Tamandua tetradactyla: one gene and its partner. The protein of the gene in region 1 purifies or fractionates together with the protein of each later gene. This does not show direct contact. Links are inferred from orthologs where the notes say so. Each region holds a gene or a part of one and is shown in the gene's direction. Other genes may lie near its edges.

What was found. The genes of interacting proteins can lie anywhere in the genome.
Region 2: the proteins of DNAJB6 (region 1) and BAG2 purify together in Homo sapiens (affinity purification with mass spectrometry; 4 studies listed by BioGRID and IntAct, with this or other methods). This does not show direct contact. The link is inferred for Tamandua tetradactyla from reciprocal best matches to the Homo sapiens genes DNAJB6 and BAG2.

Annotation. Positions count from the first base shown.
Region 1 is NC_135327.1:203,494,927-203,503,458, forward strand, and holds the start of DNAJB6 (dnaJ homolog subfamily B member 6), read left to right. Parts: upstream 1-5,138; 5' UTR 5,139-5,400; intron 5,401-8,532. UniProt on the Homo sapiens protein: Has a stimulatory effect on the ATPase activity of HSP70 in a dose-dependent and time-dependent manner and hence acts as a co-chaperone of HSP70. Plays an indispensable role in the organization of KRT8/KRT18 filaments.
Region 2 is NC_135331.1:116,192,612-116,200,368, forward strand, and holds the start of BAG2 (BAG family molecular chaperone regulator 2), read left to right. Parts: upstream 1-4,621; 5' UTR 4,622-4,708; coding exon 4,709-4,821; intron 4,822-7,757. UniProt on the Homo sapiens protein: Co-chaperone for HSP70 and HSC70 chaperone proteins. Acts as a nucleotide-exchange factor (NEF) promoting the release of ADP from the HSP70 and HSC70 proteins thereby triggering client/substrate protein release.

The DNA of each region.
Region 1 (8,532 bases):
TCTTGATAATAAGATAAAATGATTTCTAAAAATATATGTGTAGCTAGAACTGAATAATCTATAATACACTAAAGTTCTTGTTGTTATGTTTGACTAATCAGGAACTAAACTGACATTTTTAGTACAAACTCTGGGCAATTTGTTTTGAAGGCAGGAACCTAAAGTAAAGCACATATATATGTAAGATTCTTCAAAGGTCATGACATCTTGGATATTCTTTGAGATTTTTGATTTACATATATTCCTTTGAGGCTTTGAAGGCAGAATATTCATTTGAGAAACATATATGTATGTGAAATATCCCATTTCTCATATAATATAATGCCCTGTGCTTTCATGATACCTTTTATCTGAGGAGCTCAAAGAACTAATTATTTCCAACGCCTATATAGGTTACGTTAAGTATCATTATTTCTAATTTACAGATGGGGAAACTGAGGCTTGTTAGCTCGGTTAAAATCATAGCAACATCAACATTAAAGTTTTACTGGTCATTTAGGATGCATGGCACAAAAATAAATTCATGCACCACATCAACGTGGTAATTACTTAAAAACACCTATTTTTATTCTCTGGCCTCTGAACAAAAACTGTTCTTTTTCCACTCACCTGAAGAAGAAAAATATTCTATGAGCAATGTAAGTATTTGAAGTGTTAATGAAATTTTTCTCTACTCCTTTTTTCTTTTGAGAAGTCTAAACAATCTTCTCTAGTGCTTCACCTTTTAAAATTTAACTATGTATTTTAATCCCTAACACTCCCCACAATTGTTCTTCCAAATTCATCCATTTTCTCAAGGCCTCCCATATTGAGAAAATCTTGGCCATTAGAATTTCCACATCTTATCTGTTCTCTATCTTTTCTTTTTTCCTGTTTTTTTTAAAATTTTTTATTAATTAAAAAAATTACAAGAAACAAACATTCCCAACACATACAATCAGCAATTCACAATATCATCACATAGTTGCATATTCATCATCATGATCATTTCTCAGAACATTAGCATCAATTCAGAAAAAGAAATAAAAAGACAACAGAAAAATATAACAAACAGAAAAAAAAAAATTTACAGGCCATACCCCTTACTGATCCCTTTCATTTTCCTGTTTTGAAAGAAGAAGTGTAAATCCTCTTTTTCAAAGTTAGTTCCTCTATCCCTGTACCTGGTTCCATATCTTCATGCCTACTCTGGGACTTAACTCCTTTAACTATTGCTTGCTCTCCAGCATCTTCAATTCCATCTCTTCCACTGGGTCCTTTGATCAGAAATATGCACAAATATCTTAATGATAAAAACACATAGACAAAAAAACAGAAACAACAAAATAAAACCGCATAAACCAAACCAAACCAACCTAAACTCTAAGCTCCTGGAGAGAAAGAGTCATGTTTCTTTGATTTATGCCTAAAGTCCAGCAAAATGCTGGAATATAGTAGGTATTCAATAAATGAATAAATGAAAACATATTTCTCTTGCTTGTCCCACAATTTCATTTCAACTTCGTACCACCTCACATACTACATAGGCCTCTTGGATGGACTTTTGTCACTCATAGTACTTTTATAAAAATTATTCTTAATGGTTTGAAAAATAATAAAATAAAAAGTTCAAACACAAGAATCACAAGGAAAGGAAGAACTATCTGAAATCTCACTATCTAGTATAAGCATTTTCAGCAATTTGCTGAATATTCTTCCCAGTTTAATGCATGTGTATGCATATATATATATGCATAAATGAACACAATTTTGCAAAAATGGGATACTATACAAGCTCTGTTTCAGTAATGTATTTTAGATATGTTTTATGTCAATAAATATAACCACATTTTTTTAAAGGGCTGAGTGGTATTTTGCGGTAAGGTGGTACTGATTATTTGCAAAGTTGTAATCAACTTTGCAAATAAAAAAGACACCTTGTGTCTTTTTTCAAAAGCACATTTCAGTTTAAAAATCACCAAGCTGCAATTCAGAATGCTTACCCGGGGTCCCGAGACTGATGGATCCCCTCATATTGCCTATTTTTCTGGGGAGAGTCTATAATTTTTATCAGTTTTTCGGAGGCCTGGAACATAGAATGATTATTATTTAGAGTATTACTATGTTCCAGGAACTAAGTTAAGCACATACAATTAATCTTCACATCAAGCCAATTATCCCCATTTTACAGATTAGGAAACAAAGCCATGGAGAATGACTGGTCTCTACTTTTCTACACATTTTGCAAATCACAGATTTGTCATTGTTTGACTTCGATCATCTCATACCCTTGCTTCAACCTCTTCTATGTTTTCCCATCGTCTAGATGGTTCTCAGTTTTTATAACTTTCAATCTCTGTCTTTCACTATTCCTGTTTAGATGCTTTGCTTCAAAGCAGCTTGCTCACTTTGCACCTTGTTTCCTTAAGGTCACCAATTTCTTTTCACCCCATTTTAAATCCTTCCTCTCATAGGACTGCCCTACCTCAGAGTGATCATCTCCCTCTAAACTTAGTTTCCCACTAGCACCACCATTTGGCTTAGTGTTAATGTGAGAATAAAACCTTGACGCTGTAAGATCTTCTCCTTTGTTTTGCAAAGAGCTATTTAAATATTGCCATGTTATTTAATTTTGAAGGTGTTTACACCTGTTCTCTTCATCTACCATGTGAATTCCAGATTCCATTAGAGATGAGGCCTTGTTTTATACCAGTTGTTTTTTCTCATAATACAGTTCACTGCGTTAACAAGTGTTTTAATAAATTTTTGATTTTTTGGGGGGGGGGAGGGAGGATGTTATTTGTGGTTAGCCTGCACTTACTATTTAAAATTCACGTCTCTGTGCTGTCTGCATTTTAAGATTATCTCACACTTGCTGTAAGGAATTTATTTAAATGTGAAGTGTCAGATGATAATACTGTCAACACTTGAAGAAAAATAAAAGTTCATCAACTTGCTGTGGCAGACATGTTTACATGTGACAGTGCCAAACTGTTCATATATCTGAATGAAATTCCAGTTTCTGCTAAGATTATCTTAGGCTTTATCATGAGATGTCCAAACTAAATCAAATGTATTACTCATTTCTTTTGATTGGGAATCATAACCTACTAAAAAAACAGAGAATTGACTTTGATAAAAATATAAATATATTTTGATGATCATTTGCTAAAAACTACATATCAGGTAATACAATAAAGGCTTAGCAAAAACAAAAAATGAACAAAGAATATAAAGCAATCTTTTGTGAAATAGAAAAAGTAGAACCATGCCTACTTAACAGTTAAGTGTTCCAGATTCCTAAAACGGGTCATTAAGCAGCTATTATCAATGGAAAGTATAAAAAAAAAGTGCCTTTCCTCCAAGTATTTAAAGAACATAGGTGAAGGAGAATTCAGCATGTTGTTCAGTGTGTCTGAAAAACTGGCCACTGGAAATCAACACTAGCATATCTGTAGCACTTTAAGTTTGTGAAGTACATGGCAAAGAGCTTTTTTTATTTTCAAAGGAAACAATTAAGTGGACTAGGACAAAGACACCGAGGTATGAGACAAAGGTTTGGCTTGATATTATAGAGTAAAAACAGAAATCTGGACTAGGATTCATGGATTTAACTGCTCGTGGGCCTCACTGAACCTTGGATTTGTGGAGACTTTTTTCAGTACTTGAGACCACAGCATTTTTTATTCTTACAGGAATACTAATCAATAACTAATCATTAACTTCAAACTTCTTGTGTTGGGTTTTACCCTTAGAATCAGATTCCTTGCTGATGCAGGAAAGGCTTAGTCATGGCGGGACAGCCATAAATGCTCAGCTATCAAAACACACCAAATTGTCTGTAAACTTCAAAAAAATTTAAAAACTGCCCCTTATTATTTTGGGCCACAGCTTGCTTTCATTTCTTTCAGCCGCTTACTCCTTCGAGAAGCTTATAGGTTTTACTGCTTGCAAATCAATGAGTTAGGTTTCAAAGGGAATTTTAAGAAGTAATTAAGGTGATTCTCAGGAAGGTGACCGCAGCTTGACCCAGAAGGTCTGTGCCTAGTTATTCAACTTCTAACCGTGGCCATGGCCTGATTTTTTGTGTCCTTGACATGACAACACTAGGTTCTAGGTTTTTGCCTATATAACTTATTTCTGCTTTAGAGAAGAGTAACAGGGAAGGAGGCTGGTTAATAGTATTTGCACAATTTAAAATGAAGATTATCGGTAAAGACGGAAAAGTAAAATAACTATATCTTCACTGTTTTCAGGATACGGGCTCCTTATTTACTGCTAGACGGTTCCACTCTCACGTAGGTGCCGCATGACCTTTTAACAATACAGACTCTCAGGTGTCACGTCCAGGAATCTGATTCAGTAGCTCTGGGGGTGAAACCTCCCTGAACATGCATTTTTAAAAAGCACCCAGGAGGTTCAGACGCTGGAGCTGCATGCCCACGAGGGAAAAACCAGCGAGAAAGATCCCTTGTTTCTTCTATTCTAACCAAGACACCTTTCAACTTGGGGCTGGGTACTGTCATCAAGTTTCCTCTGGCCTTGCTTAGCTCACGATTTCAGTTTCGGCTCTAAAGGCACTCAGTGCTGGGACCTCAAATAGTTTTTCTTTTCCCTTCTTCCCCAATTACATATTCATTGCTCTTATTAAATTATAATCTCTTTGTGGGAGACTGTCCCTGGTGGTAACCCCATCCGAGTAATGAGCTCAGTGGCTCTCCCAACAATCGGTCAATGAATAAAGCACAGGGTACTTCAGCACAGCTGCCGGGTTCTCTCAATCAGACGCGGGTGAGGGCGACTGGTTTCCCGCACCCCACACCGTCACCTTGCAGAAGTGCGCCAACTTCCAATGTCCGTCTCCGCTTGCCCGCCGCCCTTAACCGTCACTGATTCCTCCGTGAAGTTAGAAGTGGGGAGAGGCCGTCCCAATTGGGGCGGTGCGTCCTCCTGAGCTTCTCAGAGAGGCCTTTCAGTGGCCCACCAGACTGAGGACACGAACCATGTACTCAAATCCGCTGTGGCGTTCCTCCAAGTCCACCGCATTGCAAAGCGTGAGACCCCCCCAGCACGACTCCCAAACCGGCAGATGGCGCTCGCTGGGGAAAGCACGAAGAATTTTCGGGAAGGCACCGGGAGGGGGGACAGGGAACGAGGCAGAAGAGGTTTTTAACCTCGTGGCAGCAACCGCAGCTGCGGCTGCCTCCGCACATTAATGGTCGGGCGGAAGTCGAGCGTCGCCGCGCTGCCCGACGCCTGACGTACTTCCTGTTTGTTGTTGGAGAAAGGGAGAGAAAGAAAAGCGCGAGGAATCGCTGCCACCGCCTCCAGCAGTACCAGCCGTGACGGAGCTGAGGGGAGACCACGGGCCTCGCCGCCCAGCTTCTCTTCCTTCCTGCCGCTGGCTGCCAACCTCCTCTGGTAAGGGAACGACCTCCCAGGCTGCGGGGGAGGTTTGGGGACGAGGGCACTGCCTCTGAGCCCCGGCTAGTGGCTGACTTGACCCGGCGCCTTAGCAACAGCATGTGTGTGGTGGATGACCCAGGTGTCGCGGCGCTGGCTGGCCTTTGGGAGTAGGGTGGGTTGAGGGAAAGGAATAAAGGCCTGACGATTCGTACTCGTTTCGAAGCAGTGAGCTGGGATGACCGCCCCGGAGTCGAGTCGGCGCCGCTTCTCCCTTCTCGGCCGGCGCTGCGGGCCTCTGGTGTCCTTGCTCCATACAGGGCTCCCTTCCTCCTCGGGGTTGGCGGTTGGGGGTGGGGCCCGTGCGAGGGACACCCGGGCGACGGCGGCGAGGGCCTGGGCTCCTGTTTCAGGCTTTTCTCTCTTATCCCTGTTGTGCGGAAACGTTGTCTCTCTCGACTTCTCTTTCTTTTCTCTTTTTTATCAATGGAAAGGGGTTGAAGGGCGAGGAGCTTTTTAATTTCCTTTTAAGCTCTTTTGTAGTTGACTCTGAAGCCAAAATCAGCCAATCTTTATCGGTTCGGAAAAGAGCAGAATTCATATGGTAGATAGTGCTGCCAAGTATGGAGCACAGGAAGCGGGTGGTGGGGATGCGAAAGCCCCCTTTATAGAACTACCGACTGATTTTTCCGTTTCTTGGTCAGCAAACGGCCTTTCAACTCACAGAAGAGGTTTATTTGCTTTGTTTCACTTAAAAACAAACAACAAACCCGTACTGTAGTTTTTATAAGGATAGCAGCTTTTGCCCAAGTAAGGAAAGAAGTTTCGTTGACACAAGAAGTGGTAATTGCAAACTTTTTATTATCTCGAAAAAGGTTTTTGGAGTAGTGTCTTTTTTTGTTGTTTTAAAAGATAATTTGATAGTAAACTTCATTACGCAGTTATATGGGGTTCTCATATAAACTAGAGGAAAGGAAATAGTGTAGAAGACTACTCTTGTCACCAAGAGGGACTAACGATAGAACTGAAGATTCCGGTATGTATGGAAAGAGCAGGCTAGCAACTGTTTGTATTTTCAGCATTTTATTTGAATTGTGAATTTGTAGTAAACTTCTATGGGTAGGATCTTTGAGGACAACTGATTGATTAGAGAAGTTAGACTAATCGGCACATACAAAAGAAGTTGAAAAACCTTGACTATTTGAATTTTGCTTGCTCTGTTCGCATGTAATCACAACTTTCTAAGGTACAAATCGGAAATGATAATGGCTTCTGAAAGGAATTAATTTGTTAATTGGCTCTGCATCTACTGCTCTACTACACTTCATTCTCTCTGGAAAGTTTAATCCATACTTTTTTCTTGTTTCTGCTATTGAGAATCTTCATCTCCTGTGGGGTCAGGAACTGTCTTTTATTTTAGGGGTCTGTAATAAGAAAATGAGTGTTCTTTAGACATACACTTCCTTTAATCCAGTCTAGAATTGTTTGGATTATGCAGAGTATGAAATTTGGGGAGTAAATTGACTTGATGTAGTAGCTTGTAGGTGTGGATGACTTGACAGGAAGTGGGAGGAGAACAAAAGGGATTGAGAAGGTGGTTTTTAAAAAAAGTCCTAGCTGGGCTTAGTGTGTTCCTGTAGGCAATGAGAAAGTTGGAAATTTAAGAGTATTGAGAGCATTTAAAGAATTTGAGATGACTTCAGCCCCTCTTCAAAACATCCATGTTTTAAAGTTTATTTTCTTTTGGATTTCAAAGTGTATGATTTGTGGGGTATTTCTAGTTTCTGGACAGAGACTGAACCTGGAGGGTTCGGGTGGGAAATATTGTTTGAGTAATAAAGTGAAGGCTAAATCATGGATATGAAATTACAGTATGATACTTGCAACTAGGTGGAATACAATAGCTTTCCTTTTTAAGTACACCCATTTTTTTTTAAGTGTTTAGAGCCAAAAGTGGATCCATTCTCCCATGCATTAACTTTATTTTGCACTGTTTCAAACAAATGTGATCGTACCCATCACTCCATTGACAGTTTAGTGGGTGGGATGATAAGCATTTTTTAAAGTTACCACATTCTCATAAAAGAGCACTTCAAAATACAGTAGGTCGTCGTCGTCGTTGTTGTTTAACTTGAACCTCACACATAGAGCAGAGCCATTTATTTGGTTTTCTGTAGAGCTCTGACTTAATTGAGATTTAAAAATTTTTTTTTATTGTATAGTATGACATATATACAAAGCAAAGAAAGAAAGGTAAATTGTTTTTAAATCCAACTTTTCAAGTTTGCATCTATATTTCAACATAAGGAATGCCATGTAAAGTATGATTGATATGATAGTACATATTCAACACCTTATTCTATTTTAAAGTTTTTAAATTCATCCAGGACACCCATCTAGTGGTGAAAGGCAGGTAATTGCAGGCTATTAGTGAATTAAGATAGGATTAGAGTGACAAGATAATAACAAATACTGTAGTTCTTCCTATGTCGGTAAATAGACCTTGAGAGCATTTCAGACTAAAAAAATTAAGGCTAATGGTGGTTATATGTGTTTTGTAAACTTATTTAGGGGGTGCTCATAAAATCACAGTTGAACCTTTTCGTGTGAATATCCTGCATGAGAGTGAAGTAAATTTTAAAAAGCCTTTTCTAAAGTCTGGGAAAATTAATCTCTAGAAAAATAATAAAAGTATACAAATTCCTAAAGGAATGCAATATCAAAGGAAAGAAGGCTCTGTGTTATTTATATTTCACATCTATTTCAAAAAGGATTTGGTCATAGCTTGGTTTTCTCATAAAATTTTTACTATGTCTATGTAAAATTCATAAGCAACCATAAGCTTAAATGTTTGTCTATCAAAAGACTCCTAGTAAGGAGTGGTATTTTAGGATTCTTAAGTTCAGTGACGAAGATAAATTTGTTGAAGGGTGATTTCCATACAGGGAATGTGATCTTACCCCCTTTAAAATTCTCTTACTGCCTTTTACCCCCCCCCCCCGCCCCAAAGCACTTATACCTTGTTTAATATTTTGTTGTGTGTATGTGTGTGCACATGCATGCATGCTTAAGTTCTTAATGCCCTTCTACCACCTTCAGATGGCATAATCCTCCAGGGTAGACCTTGAATCTATTGTAATATTGTGTGCC
Region 2 (7,757 bases), on another chromosome or scaffold:
CTCTATTTCTGTTTCAGGTCTTATGTACATTACCTCAAGTCTTTTTGAAAATAAGTGACACTGATTTTAACATTACCTACTGGAAATTCTAAGTTCTTTTTCACATTCTACATCCTTGAATGGAAATAACTTCAAGTTCTTTAGTACATTAAGTTCATATGTACTAAAGTTTAGTTTGAAATTATATCCAGATTCTCATATTTCAAAATTTTCAAGCATTATGATGGAGAAACTGCCAAGTTATCCTAAATTTTTCCCTTTTGGTTTACCTTTCTTTCCTGAAAATATGAAAGTGGTTGATGAGACTTACATGTAAAGCACATGTTGATTAGTTTTATGTCCTAAGCTTAAAATTCTGTATGTTTTTTAATGCAGATGTGGAATTAGAAGAAGCTATTAGAAGAAGTCTTGAGGAAATGTAATTAAAGATATTACCACACAACATCAAGTGGCCTTGAAGATACTCTCAGGATAATGAATTCTTGAGTTTGTTTTCTAAAAGAGACAAGAAATCTACTAGCACAAGTGTATTTGAGAACATGCTTTTGCATTCACATGTTCAAAATCTGATATTTTCTTTCTGTTTGTGTGTAGTTGTACACAGATATACAGAAAGCACAGAATACTGTGCTAACAGATAAAAATCATGTAATCTAATATAAAAATTACAGTTTCCCAGTTAATTTTGAATGCCTATATTTAGATTAAAAGGATTCTTAAAAAAAAGAAAGGAAAGCTCTTGGTTATGGTCTGTATGTTTCCCAAATATCATTAGTCTTTAATTTTTTTTGTACTGTACAGATGATTCTAGTTTTATTTTTTTAGGAGTGAAAATGAATATAAATAAGTTGCTATAGCTCAGATTTCCTGTAAATTCTACTTCTCATGTGATATATCTTTCATATCTTTGTGGTTATTAGAAAAGAGTAATGAAAACTGATCATGGAAACAGATTAAAATTTTTACCAGCAGTGTTTTTTGTGAGTTTTACTGAAGTGTATATTTCTGCTTTAATTAGATATAACACATTGCTGGGATGAAAAAACGTAACTAATTTTTTTTTGCGATAATTAAAAGGCAGCCTTTTCCATTCCTTTTACCTGCTTAAACTTTTATATGACTTCTATGATCTGTTGTTTAAAAGGAATGCTAAAATATTTGCATAAAATTAAATTTATTTTTAATAATCTTAGTCCTTTTTCTTTTTACATAGCTGTGTAAACTTTTTATTCTTCAAAAATAATGAAGTCTACTCAGGAATATTCCTTACCCTTTAAATTTTTTATTACATATGGAAGTATTTTCATTTGAATTATTCATTGGATTAATCTCAGTTTCCTACATTTGATATTATATATTTAAGTTTTCAATGTTGAAGCCCCATTATAAATAGTAGAACACATTACATAAGTAGAAGACTATGAAGAGCTTGCCATACCTCTATTTGTGTATATGTTTCGTGTTTTTTGACCAGAAATGTCCTACCCCTAAAAGTTTTGAGTAGTAATTTCTCACCAAATTTTAAAATATTTCTATAAATCTAAAGCTTTCTTAAGATGAAAAAATGCCACAGCTAGCATTTTGTTCTTTCTCTGCGACACTGGATATTTTATTGTGAAATGGGATTACTGATGCTTTAATTGCTCTTGTCTTTTCAGTCCACACTGGAAACCAGTGTTTTTTAAGATGTCAATTTTGTTCTTCCCTGCTTGTATTTTTAAGACATATAGGATGAGAATTTACCAATCATCTTTCCAAAATGACCACATCATGCTTTTAATTTGTAAGTTAAAGTTGTCAACCAAGTCTTTAGAGGTAGTCAATGGGTTGTATCATCAAGATATCTTCAGGAGCTTGCTAAATAGTGAGGAACAGAAGGGACATTACAGGAAGAAGAGTGGTTAAAGCAGATGTGGAGCAATAGGAGGCAGCACCTCTTTTCCAGTGGTTCCACACATGGGTGTGATGTACACTGATTATTCAGAAGCTTTGTGGTGTGTATGGCAGAGAATAACAAGCTTTTGATATGACAAGAAGGGGATATTCATCATGATCCTAAAGAAAATGTAATTGTGGTGTTTCAAGTTTTAATCAATAATTGTCACCAATTGTATTTCTACTTGTTAAGCAATTAAAAATCATTTAAAAATTACATCATAATTTGCAATTAACTTAGACCCAAGAAGAAGGTATAATCAATGGATTACCTTACAGAAAGTTTTATGGGTTATTATCAAAAATGCTTTTTTTTCATTTCATCATTCATGAAGTATTTATTTATTTATTTATTTATTATTTATGTGTCAGGAACTATTCTAAGCACTTGGGATATACCAGTGAGCAAAACAGAGCCCCCTCTGTGGAGTGCACATTGGGGAGAGGAGGTTTGATAGAGTCATAGATAATAAGCAATTAAAAAAGTATATCTGATGGTGATACATGTAATGAAGGAAAATAAAGAAGGGAAAGAAAGGATGGTGGGTAGTATAGGGGTTGGTGTGTAGGAGGCTTGCTATTTTTAATAGGATGATCAGAAATGAGCTCACAGATAGGGAAATGTGAGCAAAGTCCTGAACAAAGTGAGGACCGAATCATGCAAATATACATAAGGAAGAGTGTTCCAGGTAGAAGGAACTAAGTGAAAAGGCCTAGACATGACTTTGGCATATTCATAGGATAGCAAGAAAGCTAGTGTGGCTGAAGCAGGGTAAGCTAGGAGAGTAATAAGAGATGAGGTCAGAGAAATAAAGGGAGCTGCACATTTAGGGTCGAGGTCTTTCTAAGGACTTGTACTCTGAGATGAGCAATAGAAGGTTTTTGAGAATAAGTGTGATCAGCCTTATTTAAAAGTATTACTGTAGTTACTGTATTAAGGATAGACAGGTGAGGCAAGAGTAGAAGCAGGTAGATCACATAGGAGGGTTTTGCAGTAACCCAAGTGAGAATTGATGATGCTTGGACTACATTAGTGGCAGTGAAGTTGGGGAGAAGAATCTGGGTGTATTCCGAAGATACAGCTGATGGACTTTACTAATGGATTGGATCTAGGATATGAAAAAAAAGAGTCCAGAACGATTATAAGTTACTTGATAGACTTTCAAACCTTAAAAAAATGTCTTTGGATTCCAAATTACTGAGATCAAATCATACACTACACCAGAAGTTTATTAATATATAGAATAAATTAGAATTAGAATCCAGACCTAAGGGTCTCAGCTCTGTTCATGTGTTTAAATGGCTTTGACCTCTAAAGTCTGTAATTCAGCTTTAAACTCATTTTCTGTGCCTCCTACATGTTTATTCCTTGCTTATGAAACTGAGATGGGAACAAAACATTTTTTTCCCTTTAAGTAGACATGTCTTTGCATTCCTAACCCTATCCATCTTTTCCTGATCTTTATGGTGTCTGACCTAGTAGCCTACCAATCTTGTCATTATTGTTAAGTTAAAATATTTGGATGTGAAATGGCTTTTTTAGTTAATACCGATTATTTCACTCAGATTCCCAAAGGAATAATTTTTTTGAATAAAGAGAAAAAAAAGTCATTAAATACCCCTTCATTGAATGGGTAGAAATGAAGTATAAATTCACTTTGCTTCTGTCAACCAAGAAATAAATTAAGTTGCGAGACAACAGAAGCGTTTATTTGGGGTATTAGAATTGCAATTCAGGGAGCATATATTTAGGTAGCAACCCAAATCGTGTCCCTCTTGGCATTTCCAGACAAGGGTTTTTAAAGGAAAAGATTAGATAAGTTGTTTGTAGTTGGACATTTGGGATACTCCACATGTCCTTCAGGTTAATAGTTTACTGAGTTCTTTATCTTTCGGTTTATGTGTCTGGATGTCCTTAGGATTTTGAAGAACATAGTTGCTTGAAGTTTAGCATACTTTGGCAGTTCGTGATCTCTGGCAGAGCCCTGTAAAAGAGTAACGCTCCGTAATGAGCTCCTGACTCCATTTTAAATTTCTTAGCCATGGTAACTGTACTTTGTTATTTCTTTTAACACGTCCCACATCCCGCTAGACAGAAAAAAAGCGTGGTAGCCTTTTCTTTTTTTCTCTATAGCTTCACTGTTGGTATTTAGGCTTATTCTAATCGGAGGTGTGACAGGACAGAGTTGTATCTCAGTGCCTTCTGCTCATGTCCGAGGACTTTTGTTCTTGCCGGGAGAAACTAAATGAAGCCATCATTGAGCACTACATTCACAGCCTGCTTCCAGGAACGCTGCGGGGGCGGAAGAGGGGTACTTTCAGGCTGCAAGGAGAATCGGGGCTTACTACTGGGGCCGAGGGGTGGTGTTTTGTGGTCTCCACACTGGTTTCGGGTTGTTTCAGGGTTCCGGGAGAAGAACCAGCAGATCACATTAGGTCCTTCCCGCTTTCTCTGTCCGTCACTTCAGGTGTTTCTGAAGCTGCTTGGTTTTGCTCCTCAGGCCCCAGTGGCTAGCAAGTCCTCCCCGCCCCCAGCCGCCGCAGCCCCCACCCAGGCCCCGGGCCCGTCCGACCCTAGCCCCGAGGGGCGCCTGCTCTCGGCCACGCGGCGGTGGCAGCGGCAGTGTCGGCACAGCCTCCCGGGCCGCCCCCCGCGGGCGTCAGAGGGAGGCGGGCGCCCCGCGCGGTGACGGCAACGCTTGCGGCCGCGGGAACACTCGACTCGCCGCTGCCAGGGCCGGTGACCTCTTGGCTGCCCCTTTCGGAGTCTCAGATGGCTCAGGCGAAGATCAACGCGAAAGCCAACGAGGGGCGCTTCTGCCGCTCCTCCTCCATGGCCGACCGCTCTAGCCGCCTGCTGGAGAGCCTGGACCAGCTGGAGCTCAGGTGAGGGCGGCGCGTGGGGCCGCGCGGGCGGGGGGCGCCCTGGGGGCCGCGCAGGCGGTTCGCGGGCGGAGGCCGAGCGGCGGGTCCGAGCCTGCGCGCAGCTTCGGGGCAGGCCAGCTGAGGCGCTGCGAGAGAAGTGCTTGCTTGAGACTTGTTTCTGTGAATTTTCTTCTCCTTCTCTGAGAGAAAACTGAATCGATTTAAGATAAACCTCTGTGGTCACATTGTCATTCACAGACCTGTTCGTTTGGGAGTGGAGAAAAATCAGAAAAGATAAAACTTACAGTGACACTGTTGGAGATTACAGACTGAAACCTCGGGTCCGCAGAATTTCTAGAACCTTCTCTGTGCCTATATATGGTCTTCACAGATGCTTGTTACTTTACTCCTTTCCCATTGTGCATTTTAAGGGAGGCAGCAGTTTCCAGTCTCTCCCCCCCCCCACCCCCAAAGTGAAGTGATTAATTTCCTTGCTCTAAAACGCTTCAGAGCAAAGGAAGGAGTGGTGGTGAGCTCCAGGAATCCATCCTATAGCAAAGATTAGAGAAGAGAGTAGAACAGATGCAAGACTGAGAGGTGAACAGTAGCTGGGAGCATTTTGTGGAATCGAGGCACTACAGCTTCCTTTTCTCTGTGACCGCGCGTACTGTACTCAGCCATTCTTTTACCTAGTTACGTAGAAGACACTGTTGACACCGTCTTGAAAGGTGATAGTCACTGTGGCCTGAAAGCTTGTAAACATAGTCGGTTTTTCTGTTTTACTTGTTACAAGATTTCTTTAAATCACATAGTGGTAGGTGTGTATAGAATTTCTAAATCATTTAGAATAAATTTTGGAAATGCTCTTTTCTTTCCTGTAAACGTTTATGTCTCTAAATTTCGATCACATGCAGATGTGCTTGGATGAAAATCTTAGGAAGGCACGTAAGGAACCCAAATTGTGCGCAAATTTTGTTCAATAGTTATCACGTATAAATAAATATGTGAGCCATAAAGTTTAAGAAGCACTGCATGTGTGTTTTTATCTCCCTTGATTAATATGTCAAAGCAAGAGGTATCCATTTGCCAAGAAACGTACATTAATAACCACAGTATTCTCTTAGCAACTGAGGAACTGAGGCATTTATTATTATTACTACCCAGAAAAGAGTCGAAGCGGGAGACATTCACCATGCACGATTTCGTGGATGGCAAACACAGAAACCATTTCTGGGATTCTGCTCAGAATGAGACAAATGGAACAACAGAGAAGTAATGATTCCATGTGTATTTCCACAAAACTAGTAAACCTGACCTGTTCAACCCCTCAGAGAAAGTGGAGCAAAACTAGAGTTCAGTGCCTCTGCTTCTTTTGTCCCTCTGATTTTTTTTTTTAATGTAGCAGTGTAAAAAGTAACTCACATTTTTGCAGCCTTTAAAATTAAGTAGGCATGATTTCAGGTGTTTTCAGGAATCTCTCTCCCTAATTCAGAATGAAAGAATTTTTCTTAAAGGAATGAGAGGGGTGTTGCATATTCTTTCAAGCTGAGTCACTGCCCTCGAACTTAAAGTAAGGCTTCATATATGGGTAGGTACAAAAGCACTCACGTGCTCCTCTTTAAAGAAGGCTTCTGGTTTTGAATATTATTATAGTCAAATATTTGAGTAATGTAAATGTATTCTAATTATTGCACATAAGCGATTAAATTACTTTGCTTAATTAACCTTGAATTATGAGGAAACATTACTGATTAATATCCATCTGTTTATTTCAAGGACATTTCTAGTAATTTCGAACTTTTAAAGCTTTGTTTCTTACTTTTAAAAAAATACCGACTGTACAGCACAAACTGAACCCTAATGTAAACCATAGACTATAATTAATAGTACAATTATAAAAAAATGTTATTGTCATCATTTGTAACAATGCTAATGGTCCATGCAAGCATGCTAATGCAAGCTGTTAATTATAGGGTGGATATAGGAACTCTGCATTTTATACATGATTTTTCAACAACTTCTCTAATTAGAAAAAAAAAGAAAAAATATTGACTGAAAACTTAAGAAGTATTTTAGAAGGTTAGCTAAACAGAGAAAAATGCTAATACTGATCCTATTAACATTAATTGAAACCATGGGCAACATCCCAGCCAGAGCTTACACTATTAAAAAAAAACTAGAATCATGCCTCAAGGATCAGTTTTTAAAAGAAACTAACATGAAATTCATGTTGTTGGTAACAGTTTAATTTCATATTAAAAATAACTAACAAAACAGTGTATTAGGTAGAGTGAAAATTATGGTTCATACTTAGATGCATGCATTTACTTACTGTTCCCCTACTATGCTGGTTTTGTTGATAATGGAAGAAACTTCTTCCATATGAAACTAAAAAAAGGATTAATACTAAATGCGTTACCTGGTATGAAATGGTGTATATGATGTTTAAAGAGCTTTAAAATGTTTTTGGCAGCATTCTACAAATTGTTGAAGATTTCCATTTGTTTCTAATACTTTATCGTGACACTAATTTTTCTTTTTTTATTCCATCTCCTTTATTCTTTTCCTCCTAAAGAGGTCATTCCTTCTTTGTTTTTCATAACCAATTCTAAGCATTCTGAATTTTGCATTTGGTAGTAGCTTAACATACCTTACTTATTGTTGCTTTTTAAAGTTATTGCAATTGTAATTACTTATTAAGAAACAAACACAGGCTAACTTTATTCATCTCATGAGCACTGAGTTTCATGCCAGGCTCTGTACCTTTGTGGAACTTATTCTGCAGATGGAAATTTAAAGCTTAAAAAGTTAAACGACTTGCCTAAGGTCACACCACTAGAGATTAATGGACTTCAAAATTGCCTGAATTTTCTTAAAGTTAAATATGTTACATTTCAAAATGTAGGAATGATATATGAATGAATATATTATGTTTATTGAAAGATAAATTCCAATTT